4 linked regions of the Coturnix japonica genome follow. The protein of the gene in region 1 interacts with the protein of each later gene in a pairwise test. Links are inferred from orthologs where the notes say so. Each region holds a gene or a part of one and is shown in the gene's direction. Other genes may lie near its edges.

The links.
Region 2: the proteins of EWSR1 (region 1) and MAPK1IP1L interact in binary tests that used the Homo sapiens proteins (3 or more experiments, as listed by UniProt). The link is inferred for Coturnix japonica from reciprocal best matches to the Homo sapiens genes EWSR1 and MAPK1IP1L.
Region 3: the proteins of EWSR1 (region 1) and MVK interact in a two-hybrid assay, tested with the Homo sapiens proteins (2 studies listed by BioGRID and IntAct). The two-hybrid records come from large-scale screens. The link is inferred for Coturnix japonica from reciprocal best matches to the Homo sapiens genes EWSR1 and MVK.
Region 4: the proteins of EWSR1 (region 1) and ATPAF2 interact in binary tests that used the Homo sapiens proteins (3 or more experiments, as listed by UniProt). The two-hybrid records come from large-scale screens. The link is inferred for Coturnix japonica from reciprocal best matches to the Homo sapiens genes EWSR1 and ATPAF2.

What each region holds. Positions count from the first base shown.
Region 1 is NC_029530.1:9,977,484-9,982,019, reverse strand, and holds the start of EWSR1 (RNA-binding protein EWS), read left to right. Parts: upstream 1-1,645; 5' UTR 1,646-1,668; coding exon 1,669-1,744; intron 1,745-3,497; coding exon 3,498-3,534; intron 3,535-3,761; coding exon 3,762-3,813; intron 3,814-4,536. Other genes in the region: EMID1 (EMI domain-containing protein 1), read left to right, coding at 699-811. UniProt on the Homo sapiens protein: Binds to ssRNA containing the consensus sequence 5'-AGGUAA-3'. Might normally function as a transcriptional repressor. EWS-fusion-proteins (EFPS) may play a role in the tumorigenic process.
Region 2 is NC_029520.1:51,140,850-51,145,349, reverse strand, and holds the start of MAPK1IP1L (MAPK-interacting and spindle-stabilizing protein-like), read left to right. Parts: upstream 1-1,441; 5' UTR 1,442-1,570; intron 1,571-4,500.
Region 3 is NC_029530.1:5,902,739-5,907,351, forward strand, and holds the start of MVK (mevalonate kinase), read left to right. Parts: upstream 1-1,477; 5' UTR 1,478-1,539; coding exon 1,540-1,617; intron 1,618-1,695; coding exon 1,696-1,843; intron 1,844-2,233; coding exon 2,234-2,381; intron 2,382-3,284; coding exon 3,285-3,440; intron 3,441-4,613. Other genes in the region: MMAB (corrinoid adenosyltransferase), read right to left, coding at 597-654, 743-836, 914-975, 1,238-1,320. UniProt on the Homo sapiens protein: Catalyzes the phosphorylation of mevalonate to mevalonate 5-phosphate, a key step in isoprenoid and cholesterol biosynthesis.
Region 4 is NC_029529.1:5,012,373-5,016,999, reverse strand, and holds the start of ATPAF2 (ATP synthase mitochondrial F1 complex assembly factor 2), read left to right. Parts: upstream 1-1,721; 5' UTR 1,722-2,043; coding exon 2,044-2,143; intron 2,144-2,515; exon of another isoform or gene 2,516-2,840; coding exon of another isoform or gene 2,841-2,916; intron 2,917-3,119; coding exon 3,120-3,164; intron 3,165-3,498; coding exon 3,499-3,644; intron 3,645-4,072; coding exon 4,073-4,170; intron 4,171-4,627. Other genes in the region: GID4 (glucose-induced degradation protein 4 homolog), read right to left, coding at 1,366-1,578. UniProt on the Homo sapiens protein: Plays a role in the assembly of the F1 component of the mitochondrial ATP synthase (ATPase).

The sequences.
Region 1 (4,536 bases):
TCTCAAACCAAGGGAGTCCCTGGTGGCCTTCCTGGGAGAGGGACACCAAGGGACACCTGGGGGCTCCCCAGGGATCAATGGGCCATGCAGACCATGGAGCTCCCAGGAACATCTCAAAGCCCAAAGGAGACCCTGGAGGAGCCCCCAGCCCCCTCACACTGAGGCTGACTCCATAACCAGCTGCCCCCTCCTGCTGTTCCCCCTTTCCAGCTGTGCTTTGCTGCAGGGGCTCTGTCCTCATCCCTGCGTGCCAACCGGGGGTGCCAGGCGGGGGGTCCTCATCCCTTGGGGTGTGGGGGTCATGCTGGGGTGGTAGTGGTGGGGGGACACTGTGAAGGGACACATGGAGCTGGGGGCACACCCAGGGCCAGCCGCCCCCTTCTGTCCCCAGTGTCAGAATGGGAGGTGTCTGGGTTGTTGGTGGCACTTGGGGACCTCATGGTGATGGAGACGTGGTGGGTTGGATCTTGTGGTGACAAGGATGTCCCAGTGCCAGGAGACCTCATGGGGGTGGAGGGACCTGGTGGTATGGGGACCCTACGGTGGGCAGCACCCAATGGGGGCACAGGGATCTGTGGGGATGATGTGGGACCCGACGGCCTCGAGACCCCACGGTGGCACAGGGGCCCCTGAGGACCATTTGGAGCTGTGACACCCCACACCCCACGGCCTCACAGCTCTCTCCTTTCCTCCTGCAGAACCAGAACCCGGCTCAGGCAGCGGCCCCGGGGGCCCACCAGCACCCAGCCCCCCCCGTGCCAAGCGTCGCCGCTCACCCCCCACCCACCAGGCTCTCCCTGGCCAGCCCTAAGAGTGCAGCCCCGCTGTGTCCCCGCTGTGTACATGGAGGTCCTGGTGCTACCCGGTGCCAATGCACCGGTCGGACCCCCCCAGCTTTTGGCCCTGCTGCTCTGCACCCCCGTGCTGGGGGGCACAGGGCCCCCACGGCCACCCCGGTGCTCGGGGGGCTGCATCCCGTGTGCCGTCCTGGCACTGCCTGGGCATTAAAGGTGTCCCCAGAGCCGTGTGTCACTGCTTGATGGGTGGGGACACGGGTGGGCGGCACCGAGGGGGGGACACCCATGGTATCCTATGACACCTATGGGACAATGGACACCCACACCGTGACACTCGTGGGACAAGCAATAGCAGCGTGTTGTCTGTGGGACACCCACACTGTGCCACGACACCCGTGGGACATCGCCCATAGCACGGCACCAGGGGGCACCCACAGCACAGCAGGGACACGCAGGGACACGCACTCACTGCTGTCACCAATGGGACACTCATAACGCACCACCAGTGGGACACCCACGCAGTGCCATGTCACCAGGGGGGCACTGACCCATAGCAGGGTCCCCACCCAGTGCTATGTCACCACTTGGATCCCTATTACAGGGAGCCATAGCCCCCCATACCCTCATACCCCCACGCACCATCACGCCACGCGTGACACGCTGCGCCCACATCCCGCCAACTCACGTGACGTCACGCTTAGCCACGCCCCCTTAGCCACGCCCACACCGAAGCCCCGCCCCCTCTCGCCGCTCCGTAACGGCGGCGGGCCGCACCACCCGCCGCTCAGCGCGGGGGGAGCCCTAAGCCCCGCCCACCGCAGCGCCCCCCATCGCCGATCGCAGTGGTGCGTCCCGCCGGGCGGGGCGGCGCATGCGCAGCGCGGGGCGGCCGCGGCGGCCGGACGTTGGGAGCGCGGAGGAGGAAGAAGAGAAAATGGCGTCGACGGGTGAGCGGGGCCGGGCGGAGCGGGGCGGCACACGGGGCTCCGAGGGGAGGGCACGGCGTGATGGGCGGGACGAGGGGCCGCGGGCCGGGCCGCACTCGGCCATACCGCATCCTTTATCGGAGCCTGGGCCTCAGGGCAGCCCGAGCTGAGGGGGGGCGTTGGGCCCTCGGTGCTGCGGCCTGTTGGGAGCCGGGCGGTGCGGGGCTGTGGGGCCGCGGTGCGGAGCGGGAGCGGCTGTGGCTGTGCTCGGCAGCACCGTGTCACTGCGCTGTGGGGGGTCGCCGTGATGCCGCTGCTGCTGGGCCCGGTCCTGACGCTTGGCCGGGTTTGTGGCGGTCAGCGAACGCTGCGAGGCCTCGTGGAGAGCGGCCCGGGCATCAATGGGGGCGCGCACGGTCGTTAGGGATGAGAGCGGGTGGGTCCGGCAACTAATAGCGACAGGATGGGGGAGGGATTTAAACTCCAATAGGGGAGAATGAGGTGAGGTGGTAACAGGAATCCGTCATTGAGAGGGCGGTGAGGCTGCACGGAGCTGTGTGTGCCCCATTCACTGCCCTGCTACAGGCCAGGGGTGGGCCCTGGGCAGCCTGAGCTGGTGGGGGGAGGTTGGGTGATATTTAAGGTTCCTTCCATCCCATTCTAAACAGCGTTTTTAACGTGATTCCATCACCTGCAGTGGTAGCAGGGTGGTGATGTTGTGCTGTTGATAGTCTTCAGGCAGCCTCTCCAAGCTCGCACTCCTCATTTTATTCAATAGAGACCAGTTTAACACAAGGTGTGGTGGCACACACTCCTCATTTTATTCAATAGAGACCAGTTTAACACAAGGTGTGGTAGCAGCAGAAACGTCAGAACCCTTTTCTGTGTGGGGCTGCCTGGCTCTGAGCAGAGCTCTGTGCACGTTTGGTTTCCGAGTCCAGCTCAGGATGCTACGAGCAAAGTCTGAACCTGTTCTTCATCTCTGTCCTTGGGACCTTTCCGGTCCTGGCAGAGCTGGAGGAGTGTCCCAGGAAAGATTTGCTCGTAGGGCTGGATTCATTGCTGCCATTTGCTCTAGGTGGGAACTGGAAACACTTGGTGGCTTGGAGGGAAAGAAAGCGTGCCCGTAGGAGCTGTAATCATTTCAAATATAGCCTGGTAATTGCCGTGTGCATGCATTTTCCATCCCTAGCAGCAAGCCAGTTCGGGAGAGGTTTTTTTTCTTCTGGTTGGATTTTCTGGATTTCAGTTTTGCTCTAAATCACACTATTTACATGGGCTGGAGCTTGGGGAAAGGAATTGCTGCCAGCTGCTGGTCGCAATCCCTCCTAGGGAAAAGAGAACTTGCCAGTGATGGGTTTGTGTCCTTGAGAGTTAAATAGACAAAGTGCTGTGTTTCGTACAGACTCAAGGGCTTACAACCTGGCCCTTTGAAACAGGGGGGTTTGTAAGTGTCAGCCCCCATGTTACCTTTGTTCCAAACCCCACTACCAGCCCCCTTGGGTGCCATCGAAAATGGCAGTTCAATTAAAGTGGGGTCATTTGAGATCAAAGTTGGTGCTGCAGACAGCAGAAACAATAAAGGGAAGAGAGGTTTTGTTTCCCTTTAGAAGGCTGAGAAAATGCATTTACCTTACTCTTTTGAAACTAGATTTCCAGGGGTTTATAGCAGTTCTTTCAAGTTGCTGGAGGAAATTCCAGCTGCTCTGCTCTTACACTGTTAATTTTGTTGAGTCTTTGTCAACCTTTCTTTCTGTTTTTGTTTCTCTTGTAGATTATAGCACCTATAGCCAAGCTGCAGCTCAGCAGGGGTAAGTAGCATTATGGCCTTTTATCATAAAAAGTTGTGATGTAAGTGTGTGGTAATTGTGGTTTAGTCTTAGCTCAGGTCTGCTTTGCAATCCCTTTGGTTTTCTATTGGATTATGTGCTGTTTTAACACTTGAGCAGAAAGATTTTGGCTTTAAAAGCCATTGTGTGATATCTGTATTGCACAAGTACTTGAATGCATCATAAACATCTTGAAATTCATTTTGCAGCTACAGCGCGTACGCACCTCAGCCAGCCCAAGGATACGCACAGACCACGCAGGTAAAGCACAGGAGGGGATTCTGACCCTTCCTGGGATCCCAGCAGCCACTTCTGAGCCCTGAAACATTCTGAGCAGCATCAAAACCTGTCATTAGGAGCTGCCTTGTAACTTCCCACACAGCCTGTGCTTAAAGTGAAACTGCCTTGATGTCTGGGAGCTTCCACATTCTCTTCCTTGTTAATATATCCCAGTTGTTGCCAAGAGGATTATAAAAACCTAATTCTTGGTGTACGTTTAACACTTACGTGTCGGAAGGGTGTTTTACTTGGTGGTGTGGGAGAGAGAAACCTGAAAAAGGAGTAAAAGAAAGGGGAAATTGCCATTTGTTTGATGGCAGCACTTGGAAAAGTTAGGAGGAGAGGATGGATTTCTTCCTTTTTCATGGAGCTGTTGTAGCTATTAGTATTGTAAGTTGGCTAAACTGCAAACTGCTGATGATCTTTCAGAGATGAATGATGCCTTTTTTTGTTTAATCCTTAGAATCCAAGTTACTGAAACCACAGTTATATGCAAAATACGAGTGTGGTTTTTTGAAGTCAACTTGGTTGACTTTCCCCAGCATCTCCAGACAGTGTTTTTTTTTTTTCTCAAAGGAAGATCCTGCCACCCAAAAGCACGTCTGTGTTCTGCACACAAAAGCTGTTGTTCTGGAGCATTACAGAGCAGAGCTAACTGGGCTTTGTGCTGCTGCCCACAACTGCCAGCTTGATGCGGATACAGAA
Region 2 (4,500 bases), on another chromosome or scaffold:
GGCACAAAACTCATTGAGAGACTGAAGATTGCAACACCGGACCAGAAAACAGTGTCAGCAATTGGGCAGGGGGAGGGGAGAACAGGAAGAGGATTGCGAAAGGCCTGGAGCCATGAGGGAGGGAGAGGGTGGGGAAGAAGAGACAGTCAGGTGGGTTTCACTGATGTGAATTTTCTCATTCCTGTTCACTGAAGAACAAGTGAAGGGAACTGTCCCTGCTGCCGCCAGCCACAACCTGCAGCTCTGAGCTCTGAAAGCAGCTCGTGCAATGGCCTGATGTGTGATCAGGGCTCTACTGATGTGTGATCAGGGCTCCAGCGTGCAAAGAAAATGTACCCCAAGAAATCCACTCCTTGTCACAAGGCACCCATAGTGGAACACCAGCGACTGTCAGTGTCTGCCATGACAGCTCACCTGCTCATAACTTACTGTGTCCAGGTGTGGAGCCCTCAGTACAAAAAAGACATGGAGATTTTGGAAAGGGTCCAGAGGAGGGACAGGAAGATGATCAGGGGGCTGGAGCACCTCAACTATGAGGACAGGCTGAGGGAGTTGGGTTTGTTCAGCCTGGAGAAGAGAAGGTTGCGGGGTGACCTCATGGCAGCCTTTCAATACCTGAAGGGAACTTACTTGCCAGGAGGGGGTAAACTCTTGGAAAGGGCTGATAATGGCAGGACACGGGGAAATGGTTTTAAGTTAAAAGAGGGAAGATTTAGGTTGGATGTTAGGGGAAGTTCTTCACTAGGAGAGTGGTCAGGCCCTGGAACAGGCTGCACCAGGGAGGTTGTGGATGTTCGCGTCCTTGGAGGTGTTCAAGACCAGGTTGGACGGGGCCCTGGGCAACCTGATCTAGTAAAGGTGTATGTTTGGTGGCCCTGCCAGGCAGGGGGTTGGAACTACATGATCCTTGAGGTCCCTTCCAACCCGGGTCATTCTGTGATTCACAACAAGCAGCAGCGCTTCCTTTCCAGCTCCATCCAGTTCATCTCATCTCCTCAATAGGGCGCATTTGCACTTTGAACCAGTTTTATGACTTTATCTTTACTTCAACAAGCTTCTGCCTTGAGAAAGAGCACTTATTAACTCAGGACAACGTCATTTTTGGATGTTGTGTTGAGGAATATGATTTAGGCGGGAAGTATTGGTAATACTTGGACTAGATGATCTTCTAGATCTTTTCCAACCTTGATAATTCTGTGATTTTCAAAGCCATTTATTTGATGATCTCGCTGTTCCATCCCATCCCCATCCCTGCAGGCATTCAAGCCCAGGCTGGATGTGGCTCTGGGCAGCCTGTGCTGCTGGTTGGTGACCCTGCACACAGCAGGGGGTCGCTCCTACAGCTGGGTAGGGCACAGTGTGTGTGGGGTGGGGGCTGAAGGAAGTAATGGCGACATGGGGGCGGTGTTAATGGCAGCGGGCGGTGCTTCTGGTGCTCGCCCTTCCTGTCGCTGTTAGGGCGGGCCGTGTGACGCAGTTCCTGTTCCTCCTTGCCGTAGCGGTGTTGGTGGTGCTGCGGGCCGCCCGCTGCCTCCACTCCGGCCTGTGCTGCGCTGCGCTTCTACCGCAGGTACCGGCCCCAACACGGGCACCATCACACAGGGATGAGGGGTGGGGATGGAGGAACGGAGCTATGGGGTGCAGCGCCCCTCCCTACAGCCATAGGGCCGCCCCCGGGGGCTGCTGGGCCGTGCCCATCCAGGCCCTGTGCAGCGGGGCGGTGCCGAGGGTCGCGGCGCTGAGGGGAGGGGCGAGGAGCTGAGCTGGATGGGCTGGAACAGCGATATAGGGCTCGGGGGGAGGGGAGCGACCTGCTGCGGCCGGGGGGTGTGCTGGGGGGATCTGGGCTCAGCCTGTGGATGGGTATAGAAATGATGTATAAATAACTGTGAAGCGTTTTACGTGGAGAGAAATGCAAGCGGTTATTGCGTCTGTACCTTCAGTGGGAGGGAGGGATACTGAGTTGGGCCTAAAAACCCACCTCTTAAATGGTTGAAGAGATGGGGTTGGACTCGATGATCTCCAGGGGTCCCTTCCAACCCCTACAGTTCTGTGGTTCTGTGATGTCCCCAATCTGTTGTAGCTTGTGAGAAGTCGTTTCGTTGTCTCAGGTGGTGACTCACTGACAAAGGGAGCACAGTGCACTATTGAAGAGCCCTGGACTGCTTATCAGCTGCTTATGAGCTGCTTATGAGCTGCTGATCTACCTGGGGAGCTGCTTATCTCCCAGGGAAGGGGTATTTTGAGGTGCATCCCATGGAAGGCACGAATCACCTCCTGCTGTTTGTTCAACCGTTTAGTCCGGGGATGTAGGAAACAAAAAGGCCTTTATTCTTTAAATAATAGCTCTTTTAAAAGGCACATCCCAAAGCTTCCCTTCCTTAGGTGGGACCGATGAGAGGAGAGGCACTGTAGGTATTTTTGAAGCTGGAGTTCATTCAAGCAGACCTTAACAGTGTGAATTCAAACATGAAAAGGTACCAACCGCGTCCATTTATTGAGGCTGTATCCTGAAAAGCTTCCTGGAAAGGAATCTCTGCAGAAGGGTGTGGAGTTTAGTTCGTCATCGGTGAGGCTGATACTGGCAGATGACACAGAGTTTTGGTGTTGCTTTAAAAACAACCCGGTGCTGGAGGACCTTTGCTAAGTGCTCGTGTTTAGCTGACAATTCACAAGTATATAGCGTTGATAGGAGGAAGATGGAGGTGATCACCCAGTCCCAACCCCCTGCTGTGTGCAGGGTCACCAACCAGCAGCCCAGGCTGCCCAGAGCCACATCCAGCCTGGCCTTGAATGCCTGCAGGGATGGGGCATCCACAGCCTCCTTGGGCAACCTGTTCCAGTGCGTCACCACCCTCTGGGTGGAAAACTTGCTCGTAAGTTGTAGCCAGGATTGAGCTTTGGCAATGGACACTTGCAGTTCTCAGCAGTGATTTCTAGTCGCTGGTTTGGGCATCATCTGTTTGTAAGCACCTGAAGTGATCAGGTCTCATCTTAGGAAGGGGGGCAGCTGTAAAACGGAACAGCTTGTCTTATATGGAGGAACAGAACAGCTTACAATTCCTTCTGGCTGTATATTTTACAGGTCTTGGAAACTGGTAAGACTTGTGTTTTGAATTGTTTTTTCTGGTAGTGGGTAATTTATAGCAAAGGCGCTAACGAGCATCATTGTGGTTGTCATTGTGGATGAGATCAGTGCTGACAATCTGAAGCCTAAAAACCCTCCTTCTGCCTTCTTTTCCGTCAAAGCAGGCGTAGGAAAGAACAGAAAGATCGCCGCATCGAAAGCAGCTGCTAACTATGAATCTGTTGCTTTTCATCTTCGGTCTGACTGCCATTTATTCTCCTAATGGGTAAAGGCGCAGGTCAGGCTAAATGGTTGCACAGTGCTCGAGTGTGGCATCTTTGAGATGATCTTTTAGACCCTAAAAATGGAGAAGGGACAGCTATAAACTGCTGGTGCTTGAGGCCTAAATGGAGCAGCTGCAGTAGAAGCTGTCATTGGTTTCTTTTCCATTTGATCTGCGTAGCTGTGTTGGATAGTTACAGTTATGTGGGCAGGACTCCTGTTGTAGATGAGGTTTTGCTGGTAGGCATTAGTCATGTCACAGTGACAGAAGAAGCTCTTTGCTGATAGAGCTGTGCCACCCAGTGGAAATGCAGCTGTGCCTGTTGTTGCACTGAGGTTTTCTGTTGTTGTTTGGAAGATGATCTCGGGGGAGGCAACTCTGAAAGGGCAGATAACAGCAGGACAAGGGGAAATGGATTGAAGTTGAAGGATGGAGGATTTAGGTTGGATGTCAGGGGGAAGTTCTTTACTGTGAGAGTGGTGAGGTGCTGGAACAGCTGCCCAGAGAGGCTGTGGATGCCCCGTCCATCCCTGGAGGTGTTCAAGGCCAGGTTGGATGGGGCCCTGGGCAGCCTGGACTGGTATCAATTGTGGAGGTTGGTGGCCCTGCCTGTGGTGGGGGGTTGGAGCTTCGTGATCCTTGAGGTCCCTTCCAACCAGGGATATTCTGTGATCTCAGAGATGGGAACTGAATCTGTCACATCAATAGTGAGCAAAGTGCCATGCAGCTGATGAAGTTATGAAAGCAGTTTGAATCGCTTTAGCAACAGAAGGAAGAAGGGTTTGGGGCAGCTCATTCTAATGGCAGTCACCAGGGACCGGTGATGGAGAAAAGCCAGGGAGGGCAAGAGCATGGGAAAAATGCTCCTGCATCGCTCATTTCCATGTGGTTCTGGTGGAAGCAGAGGGGACTCAGAGCCGAAAAAACACTTTGGGCTGTTTTAGGGCGGAGGCTGAAGGATTTAATTTGCCACATGGAGCATCAACCCCAGGGGGTTTTCACAGAGCTCTCTGAAGCTGGCCATGGATTCACATGGTGTTCAGTACTGCAGGTAGGATTGGCCTGGCAGTGCTGCACATCTCAGCCTTTGTCCTGCCTGATAACCTGCCATTCTTACCTACATGTTGTTAAATCCCAGTGATTAGTGGCA
Region 3 (4,613 bases), about 4.1 Mb from region 1:
CTGACAGTGCAGAGAGCAGGCCGGGATGTGCTCATATAATCCCTTTGCTTGTAGAACACCAAAGCAGTAACCTCCAAAGGAAAAGCAGTGACAAACAGCTGGAGAAGATGCTGGCTTGATAGCACATCTGTTTCCAAGAGAAGCATCTCTCCATTGCCTAGGATATTTCAGGGGCAACTTAGTAAAGCTTTATATGATCTCTAATTAGATCCTTTTGAGTTCCTGTGCATAGCAAAGCTAAATAATATAACCCACACACTGCTACAGTGTGAGCTGTGTCCCACCATCACACCCACGTGGTTACAGTCCCATTGCAAAACTGAGGCTACATGAAAAACTTAACTCACATCTGTGACTGTGTGGAGAAACAGATCTGGGTACATCCAGATACATCTGTCTGCCCATAACTAACCCACTTGATCTACCAGCATCCTTAATGGCTAAGAAAGTTCATTTCTTGGAGTGTAATCACAGCATAGAGTCTAGATGCTATTTTAACATGCACCACTATGTTAATTCAACTCCTATGTGTCAACAGGAGTATTTAAGAACACATGCAACGAGCACAGCGGGTCAGGCCTGTCATCAACACCCACCTTGTGAAGCTGTCCAACAAATGCATGGCCCTTCTCGCTGCTCAGCTCACTAGCAAGCCTGTGGGCGGAGAAGCAGGGTTAGTTGTGAGCAAAGCTATGGCTCAGTGTGTGTTATACCCTGAGCAACAGTGGGTATCAGGGCTCACCCGATGGCGGAGCTCAGCTCATCCGTCGTCCCCAGAGCTTCAAAGATCCGATCACCCTTCGGTCTCCTCTCCCCAGTGAAGGTGCTGGAGAAACCTTTAAGAAGATCCAAAGGTGGAGGTCAGCAGTTGTGCTCCCCATTACCTCCAACCAAAGCCTTGGCAGAGCCTTACCTTCATCTCCCGTTCTCGTGTAGATTCTGGGGGTGCGGGTGATGCGAGGGCCTCGCTCAGAGCTGTGGGGAGACACAGGGATGAGGGGGATACAGGCACTGAGGGGGATATGGGCACTGAGGGGGATACGGGCCCTAAGGGAGATATGGGCACTGAGTGGGATATGGGCCCTAAAGGGGATATGGGCCCTGAGGGGGATACAGGCCCTAAAGAGCCCTGGGGTTGTACAGGCCCTGAGGGGACCTAGGCCTTAAAGGAGCACATCCCTGAGGCCCAATGCCACCCAGCCCCTTAGGGACCCCCTCGCCCCGTTCCCACACTCACCTGCCCGCCTCATCCCCGTGTCCTCTCCCCGTTACCCCCCACACGGTCCTACCGAGGCCCAGCCCCGCCGCCCTCCGTATCATCCCTCCCGGCCGCCGTACCCCCAAGTCACCCCATCGCCTCGCCACTCCGCTCTGCCTCTCTCCGATTGGCCTCTCCTAAACCCCGCCCCCGAACGGAGCTCAACGATTGGTGCGAGCTGAGGAAGGTGAGGCGGGGTGAGGCTGCTATTGGTTAATAGAGCCGTCACTCCGCTTGGCAGCCGGCGGAGCGGGAGCCTTGTAGGCCGCAGCGCTGTGGTGATGATGGAGCTCGGGCTGCTCGTGTCTGCCCCGGGGAAGGTGATTCTGCACGGGGAGCACGCTGTGGTGCACGGCAAGGTGAGGGTTATATCGTTATATCGTTATATCGCTCACTGGGGTGTTATAGCCCCGCTAACCGCCCTGTTTCTCCCTCAGGCCGCCCTGGCTGTGGCGTTGGGCCTACGCACCTTCCTACGGCTGCGGCCTGGAGATGGAGAGCGGCTCCGAGTCCATCTGCCCGGTGTCAGTGTGAGGAGGGAATGGGGCCTGGCCGAGCTCAGCGCATTGAGGGGCCGCGTCACAGGTGGGACCGACACTGATAGGTCAGGGGATGGGGCTGTGAGCACTGATGGGGCTGGGGGGGTCCCTGAGCACTGCAGGCAGTGGGGACACATGGGCTTTGGGGGGGCCCTTCCAGCTCAAACCATTCTGTATTGCAGTTTGAGGATGCCCAGGTTGCTTTTGTTATATCACTCAATTGGATATCAGCTAAAGGTTCTTTGCCAAGAGGCTTAGTGGGGCCCTTGGGGTGCTCTAATGGGGCATCCACTCTTCTTTGAGCTGGAAGGTTTGTAGATGGGATATAAAAGTAGCTCACAGAGTCTCTGTCTCATATAACAGATGTTGTTCTTTCAAGCTGATCAGTTTTCTGCTTTCCAAGTGTTTACATTCTCTCCCCTGCTTGCCTCCGTAGCTGACTTTGATGAATCAAAGTCCCCCAGCGTAGAACAGCTGGATGTGTTGAAAGAGTTTGCTGGAATTGCTGCCGATGCTTCAGCTCCTGACAGCCTTGCAGTTCTTGCCTTTCTTTATATGTGTCTGGCTATTTCAGCTAAGTATGGGTAAGGTTCTCCTCTTGCCCCAGAATAAACATGCTGACTCGAGTGTTCATCTTTAATTGCTTCCACAAGGTCACAAGAAGAAAGCAAATATCTGTTGCAAAAGAAGAAATGGAAGGGAATGGTGCTTTATTTCGGTTCTGTGCCTCAGGGGACTCTCTCAGAGCTCTGAGCAATGTGTGGGGGATGGGATGCCCCAGGCAGGTAGGGATTGTCTGCTCTCACTTAAGCACCTGACTTGGAGCTGCTTCAATCTCTGTACCTTTCCTGTACAGTCAATACAAGCAGATAGATGGACATCTGTTCTGGCCCAGCAGGAGTTTTCATTAGGATAGAAGAACATCTGTGGAGATGAGCTGTGAATTCAGTGTCTGGTTCCTTTTGTGGGGCTGAATCTCCTTCAGAACTTGAGAATTTGGGGTAACTACAGCTCAGGGCTGTTATAACCCAGACAAGTGCAGTGAAGGACAGGTGCGCATGATGGACACAGATGTGTCTCAGTGACCTTCATCTTGCTCCAGTAGATGCAGTGATACAGTTGTGGATTTGCAATACTTGGACTTTATTTAGAAATACATATAAAAGCATATTTTCAAGTCTTAGAAGGGTCTTTTTATGGTGCTACCCAAATGCTTAGTTACAAAGTGCCCCCGCTAGCAGCTTGACAAGCTGTGCTAATCATAGATCCAATTCAGCAAGGCTTTGTTCTAGCACAATGGCTTAGTGAGGCTACTCAGCTGTGCTGACTGAAGCCCGTGTGTGTTGGATGTGTTCTGCATGTGCTGATGTTGCCAGTTTTCAGCCAGCTTCTCTTGTGATCTGTCCCCATCGGCATCTTTTTTGCCATTGAAACGTTTCAAGATGGAATTTGAGGTCACCGTTACCACCTTTGTGTTTGTGTTTCAGAGATGTTCCCAGCGTGGACATAACAGTGTGGTCTGAGCTGCCTACAGGAGCTGGGCTGGGCTCTAGTGCTGCCTATGCCGTGTGCTTGGCGGCAGCATTGCTGTATGCCTGCAGAGCCATCTCCTGCCCTCTGAAAGATGGGGAGGCCACAGCCAGGTAACACCTCCAGGAAGCTTCCCTGCCTTCAATACACACTTTGGGGCTGGGGGGGGGGTTCTGTTTGTGACTGCTGTGCCCTGTGTTTTCTTAGCAAATTCCAGTACTTCTCTTGGTCTCTCTGTCTCTAAGCTGGGCTTAGATTCTAGTTGTGACAGTGGCACCCTAAACCCAGCTCCTTTCCCTTCCCCTCCCATTGCTGCCTGTCCTCCCAGCAGCAGAATTGTGCCCTGTTTGCAATTCATTCCTTCTGACAAAAGCAACTGGATGCAGAGATTTGGTGATACTCACACATTCTCCCCCCTGTCTGCTTTGTAAGATACAGACAGCTTTATTTTGTCATGAAAATAACACAAGCTCTTTAATATGATAGATAGATCTATCTTTTTTTTAACCTCAGTTTCTTCTCTGTGATCATCTTTTAGGTTTTACTTTGAGTCCTCCAGGAATCTTTGTGTCTTATTTTTTCTCCTGTGTTTTCATGTGGATATATATATATATAATTTTCCTTCATGTGGTCCATTTCCTTCTGATTTCCTGCCTGAATTTCCCCTTTATCAGTGGCTGCTGAAAAGGAGTTTCTTTCCCTCCACCCTGCCTTGCTTTCCATTGGAGCTCAAGCTTGAAAAACTGGTCTGCTCTGCTGTGTGTCTAAGGAGGCTCTGTTTAAAGATGCATATCACAGCTGGAGCTGCAGAACCCTCCATTGTTCACTGCCTGCCAGGTGCAACCTTTTACAGTTGCCTTGCTGTGGATTTTGTGTGGGCCTGAAAGTGAGACAGCGAGAGGGGATGGCTGTGTTCTGCTTCAGAACCCGACATAGCAGTCGGACCCAGAACCACATTCAAGTGGAGCCATTAGTGAGCAGCAATCAGGGCAGATCTCCCTGTAGTCAGAAATGAAAGGCCAGTTCTGAAGCAGCCAGCAAGCAGCGTGGATGTCTTCATTCCCTGCTCTCACTTCTTTAGCTTCAGCTTGAATACAGCGTGATTTCTTTCCTTCCAGCTGGCACGCGGAGGGGTGAGAGATGGGGGTGTCAGACTTCAGAAGGTTTTTTGCTTAACATCGCAAGAAAAGAACAGCGTGATATAATGACTCCTGTGTAGAGAAGAATCGCAGCCTCTCAAAGAGGATTAAAAACAAGTGGTTTACAGCAAACTGCGCTTCTATTTT
Region 4 (4,627 bases), on another chromosome or scaffold:
CGTCTTTAGCACAAAGATAGAGCCAGCCTCTGCGAGAAAGCAGCATGCAGTGAACTAAACAGCCATAGGATGTCTCCGTCAGAACAAACTGTAGTGGGTACAGTCATGCTGTTGACAAGTAGAAGACTGGATGTGAAAGCAGAGGGCACAGTTCACACTGCCCCATCTACTGACCCTGGGGCTCTGACTTTGCTCCCCAATGCCGAGCCATGCACCAGGCTGCAGCACTGCTGCACACCCAGCCTGGGTGCCCCGATCCAAGAGACTCACAGCAGGAACAGCGCTGTGATTTGCTACAGGAAAACATGCATCAATGCCTGGCTTCCCCATGCACTAACTCCACACCTCTACCCAAATTGAATGTGCCAGCACCTCTGACTAAAAATAAAGCACGCAGGGTGACAGTGACTCCAGAGAGGATTAGGAAAGCCCCATTCTGCAGAACTGTCTGCTCACATTCCCATTACAGCAGAACTGCTGCACCCCTCCCCTGGTTCCTCACGCAGCCACTGGCACCATGGGATGAGGAACACAAAGCCCAGCACAGGGACCTGGATCCCTGCTGAGTTCCAGCCAGGCCTGAAATACAGGCTGTCCCACTGCTCGGGACTTCCTGGGCACCTCCCAACACGAGGCAGGATCCCACCCTTCCTCATGGCAGCCCAGAGGCACACGGGCACCCCAGGCCTGAGGGGAACGAGAAGGAGAGTCCTGCTGGCAATAGCAGGACATGGGGAAATGGTTTTAAGTTAAAAGAGGGAAGATTTAAGTTGGATGTCAGGGGGAAGTTCTTCACTAGGAGAGTGGTTAGGCCCTGGAACAGGCTGCCCAGGGAGGTTGTGGATGCCCCGTCCTTGGAGGTGTTCAAGGCCTGGTTGGACGGGGCCATGGGCAACCTGATCTATGGGGTCTCTATGGGGATCTATGGGGTCTCCTGGGCAACCTGATGTAATAAATGTGTATGTTTGGTGGCCCTGCCAGGCAGGGGGTTGGAACTACATGATCCTTGAGGTCCCTTCCAACCCGGGTCATTCTGTGATTCTGAGAGCTGCTGTTAAGTATCTCAGCAGCCACAAGGAGAAAAGGGGCAAAAGTGTGAGAGGAAAAGAGAGGAAGGACCCCGGGTCCCATCAGCCCTGAGGGGATGGAGCAGTGAGGGGCAGTGAGAGCCGGGTGGGGGCTGCAGGAAGGGCCGGGGCTGCAGGGAGGAGCTTATGGAGATGGGGGGGATCGGGGCCGGGCGGAATCAAGGCGAGGGGAACCCGGACAGCGGGGAGCAGAGGGGAAGGAAGGGAAGGAAGGGAGGGAAGCAGGGAAGGCCTGAGGCCCAGCGGGGCCCTGTGGGCGCCGGACACGGTCCCTCACCTGCATGACGACCTCCACCTCGTACGCGTTGCCTTTACTGCGCTGCTGCCCGCGGAACTTGGCCCCGCTGTACAGCAGGGATGTGGCCACTCCGGGCTGCGCCGTGTTGATGGGAGGCGGCGGCACCAAACTGCTGGCGGCCGCTCCGGACGGAGCCGATGATGCCGGTCCCGCCGCTCCGCCCGCTCGGCCCCGCTCGCTGCGCACCGGCATCTCGGGGGGGTCCCCGGGCGCCAGCGTGGCCGGGGCTCAGCGGCCGCCACCGGGGCCGCGCTCCGCTCCGCTCCCCTCACGCCCAGGCCGCCGCCGCCGCCGCCTGGCTCGGGGCCTCCCGGCAACGCCCCCGCGCTCTCCCATTGGCCCTCGCGAAGCGGCGAGAAGGCGGGGCGGAGCTCCGATTGGCGGAGAGCTCTCCTTCCCGGCAGGTTTTACGGTGAGGAGGCTGCTGGGAAATGTAGTTTGTTCGCCTCGCGCCTCACGCGACGGGAAGGCCGAAGGGGCAAAGCGCGTTCTGTGCTCCCATTGGGCGGAGCGGGGCAACATGGCGGCGCCCGGGGCGACAAGCTGAGCCGGGGGAGGCCGCTCCGAGCCGGGGTAGGCCGCAACGCTCCAGCTCCGTTCGCCGCCCCTCATCGTTCCTCTCGGCTCCTCATCGTTCTCTTCGGCTCCTCCGCCGCCATGTGCCGCCTCCTGCAGGCCCTGGGCCGCATCCCGGCTGTGGCAGCCCGGAGCCGCCCGCTGTGTCCGGGTGGGAGTCGAACATACGCCCCTCCCGCAGGTGAGGAGCTGTGGGCCCCGCGGGGAGGAGCCCGGAGCCCCGTGTGAGAGCGGGGGAACGCGGGGGGTGTCGGTGTGTGTGTGTGTGGGGGGGGATTAGTGGGAGCCCCCTCCTCAAGGTCAGCTCTTGCTGGCTGGGGGAGGGGTTGGGTTCCGGCCTTCAGAATGGGCTGAAGAAAGGAGGAAGAGGGAAAATGGGCTCCGAGGTGGGTAAGGAGGTGGTGGGGCGTCACTGCGCTGCTTTTCCATCAGTGGGTTTGAAGGTTCCCTTTGGTTGCGGGTGGGATGGCGGGGAGCTCCACCAGCCCCTCCCAGGCACGTGCTGGGCTGTGCAGCCCCTCTACAGATATTGCTGGAAACACGAGGATGGGAGTCAGGGTTTCATTGAGTATCATGAGGCCAATGGGAACACGCTGAGGTGCCTGAATCCTCCCAGAGCTGTGCTCCAGCACTGCAGCATTTCCTGAGGCCCTGAAGCTTGTAGGAGGCTGAGTGGATCCCCATCCTTCTCTCTGCTGGGCCCGTGTTGGCAGGGCACAGTTCAGTGACAGCCAGGAGGTGGATTCAATGGGCTCAGCATTTACGAGCTGGTTGTAATTGTCAAGGGAATCTTCTGGGTGAGACGTGTGGGCTGCGGTGAGCTGAGGACAGTGGTTCCTCCCCAGTGACTCAGCTGCCACGTGCAACGTGTCTGACACATGATCCAGTTGCTGCTGCACATAGGGTTCATGGTTCCTCCAAGTGGTGTCTGCAAGAAATCTGCTCCTATGGGTGGTCAGGAGATCTGGGGCATTGCTGTGGATGTCACCAGTATTGTGACACCTCCCAGGTTGAATAGAACTCACTGGAATGGAGAGGGGCTTGAATGAGTGGGATTTTGTGGCTGTTCTGTGGGCTGCAGCAGCTCTGAGGGCTCCCTGTGTTCTGACAAACCTCCCCTTGCCACCCTTTCAATTGCTCTGTTTTCAACCCCCCAGAGAGGAAGCGGTTTTACCAGAACGTGAGCATCTCACAAGGAGAAGGTGAGTGGAGCTGCTGGGGCAGGCGAGGGCTGGTACTCACACGGGGGTTACCATCACAAGGCAGTGCTGTGTCTGCAGCCCCTGTTGTGAGCTGGGCTGTCTGTCACCCACATGCTCTGCCCTTGTCCTCATCCATAGTAAAACCATGTGGTGGGAAAGTTTCCAGCATCATCTGGGGAAGAGCAATGTCAAAACATTGATGTTGGTGGGAAAATTGCTGATTCCTTGCTCCCTTCAGCTCCAGCTCTGAGCTTGTTCCCTCTATGGGGTAGTCTGTTGTTCCTTAGTGCCTGCTCCTCTTTAATTCCCCAGGATTTCTACTCTGATTCCCCAGGAGGCTTTGAAATCAACCTGGACCACCGGAAGCTGAAAACACCCCAGGCCAAGCTCTTCACTGTCCCCAGTGAGGCCTTGGCCATTGCAGTGGCAACAGAATGGGACTCTCAGAAAGACACCATCAAGTTCTACACTATGCACCTGGTGAGCACAGCAGGTCAGAGTGCTGAAGCACAAAAATGGTCTCCAGAGGCAGAACACAGAGAGAGACCAGGCTGTCCTAATGTCAATTGAAGTGGGAACAGGAGTTCAGTGCCTTGGCTGAGTACTGTGGATAACTTAAGGCTGAGCAGGCAGCTGGATGCTGGCTACAGGACTGGGAGGGAAACCCGTGTCACTGGGGAGTTTGAGAAGGGGATGGAGAGCATTTCTGGGGATAGCAAGGGGTATGAACAGGTTGGATAGACTCTATTATATGAGCCATGTTCTGACTCTATGTTTCCCTCTTAAGTAAGCTCCTTGATTCTTGCAGTCTGTCCCAAATTCTTCTGCTTATCTTGACCTAGTACACTGGAAACTGCTGCTTCCTTGAGCTTTAGATAACAGTGATTTCAGTTGCCTTTATCCTGCAGACCACACTGTGCAACACAGCTCTGGACAATCCCACTCAGCGAAACAAGGTGCAGCTGATCCGTGCAGCTGTGAAGTTCCTGGAGACTGACACTGTCTGGTAAGGGACTGCGGGATGCACTGGCACAGAGGTGGGGTTGTCTTGTTGTAGAGTGGTTGAGAGAACTGAGGGAAAATGTCTGTTCTAACCAAGTCATTGCAGGGCTCTGCTCTGTCCTGGCTTTGGCCCAGGGGTTTGAATTAGTTTAGACGAGTCCTATGTCCACCAACCTAGTGGAACTCCATGCATTTAAAGGGCATAGATACAAAGAACAGGGACCTGTTTCTTTGTTGAAATCTGTTTGGAGATGTCCATGTTGGACAGGGAGCAGGAGCAGCAAGAAATGTAGTGGGAAAAGCAAAGAAAGGCTTGGGAGAATGTCAGCTCAGTCCCCTGGCACTCCAGTAGCATAAAGGTGTAGTAAGCTTAGATTACCTGTACTAGTAGTAAAATGCCCTTTGCTCCTTAAAGCTCCTGTGGGTTGCAGGATCCAGCCTACCCAAGCTCACGTCTCACA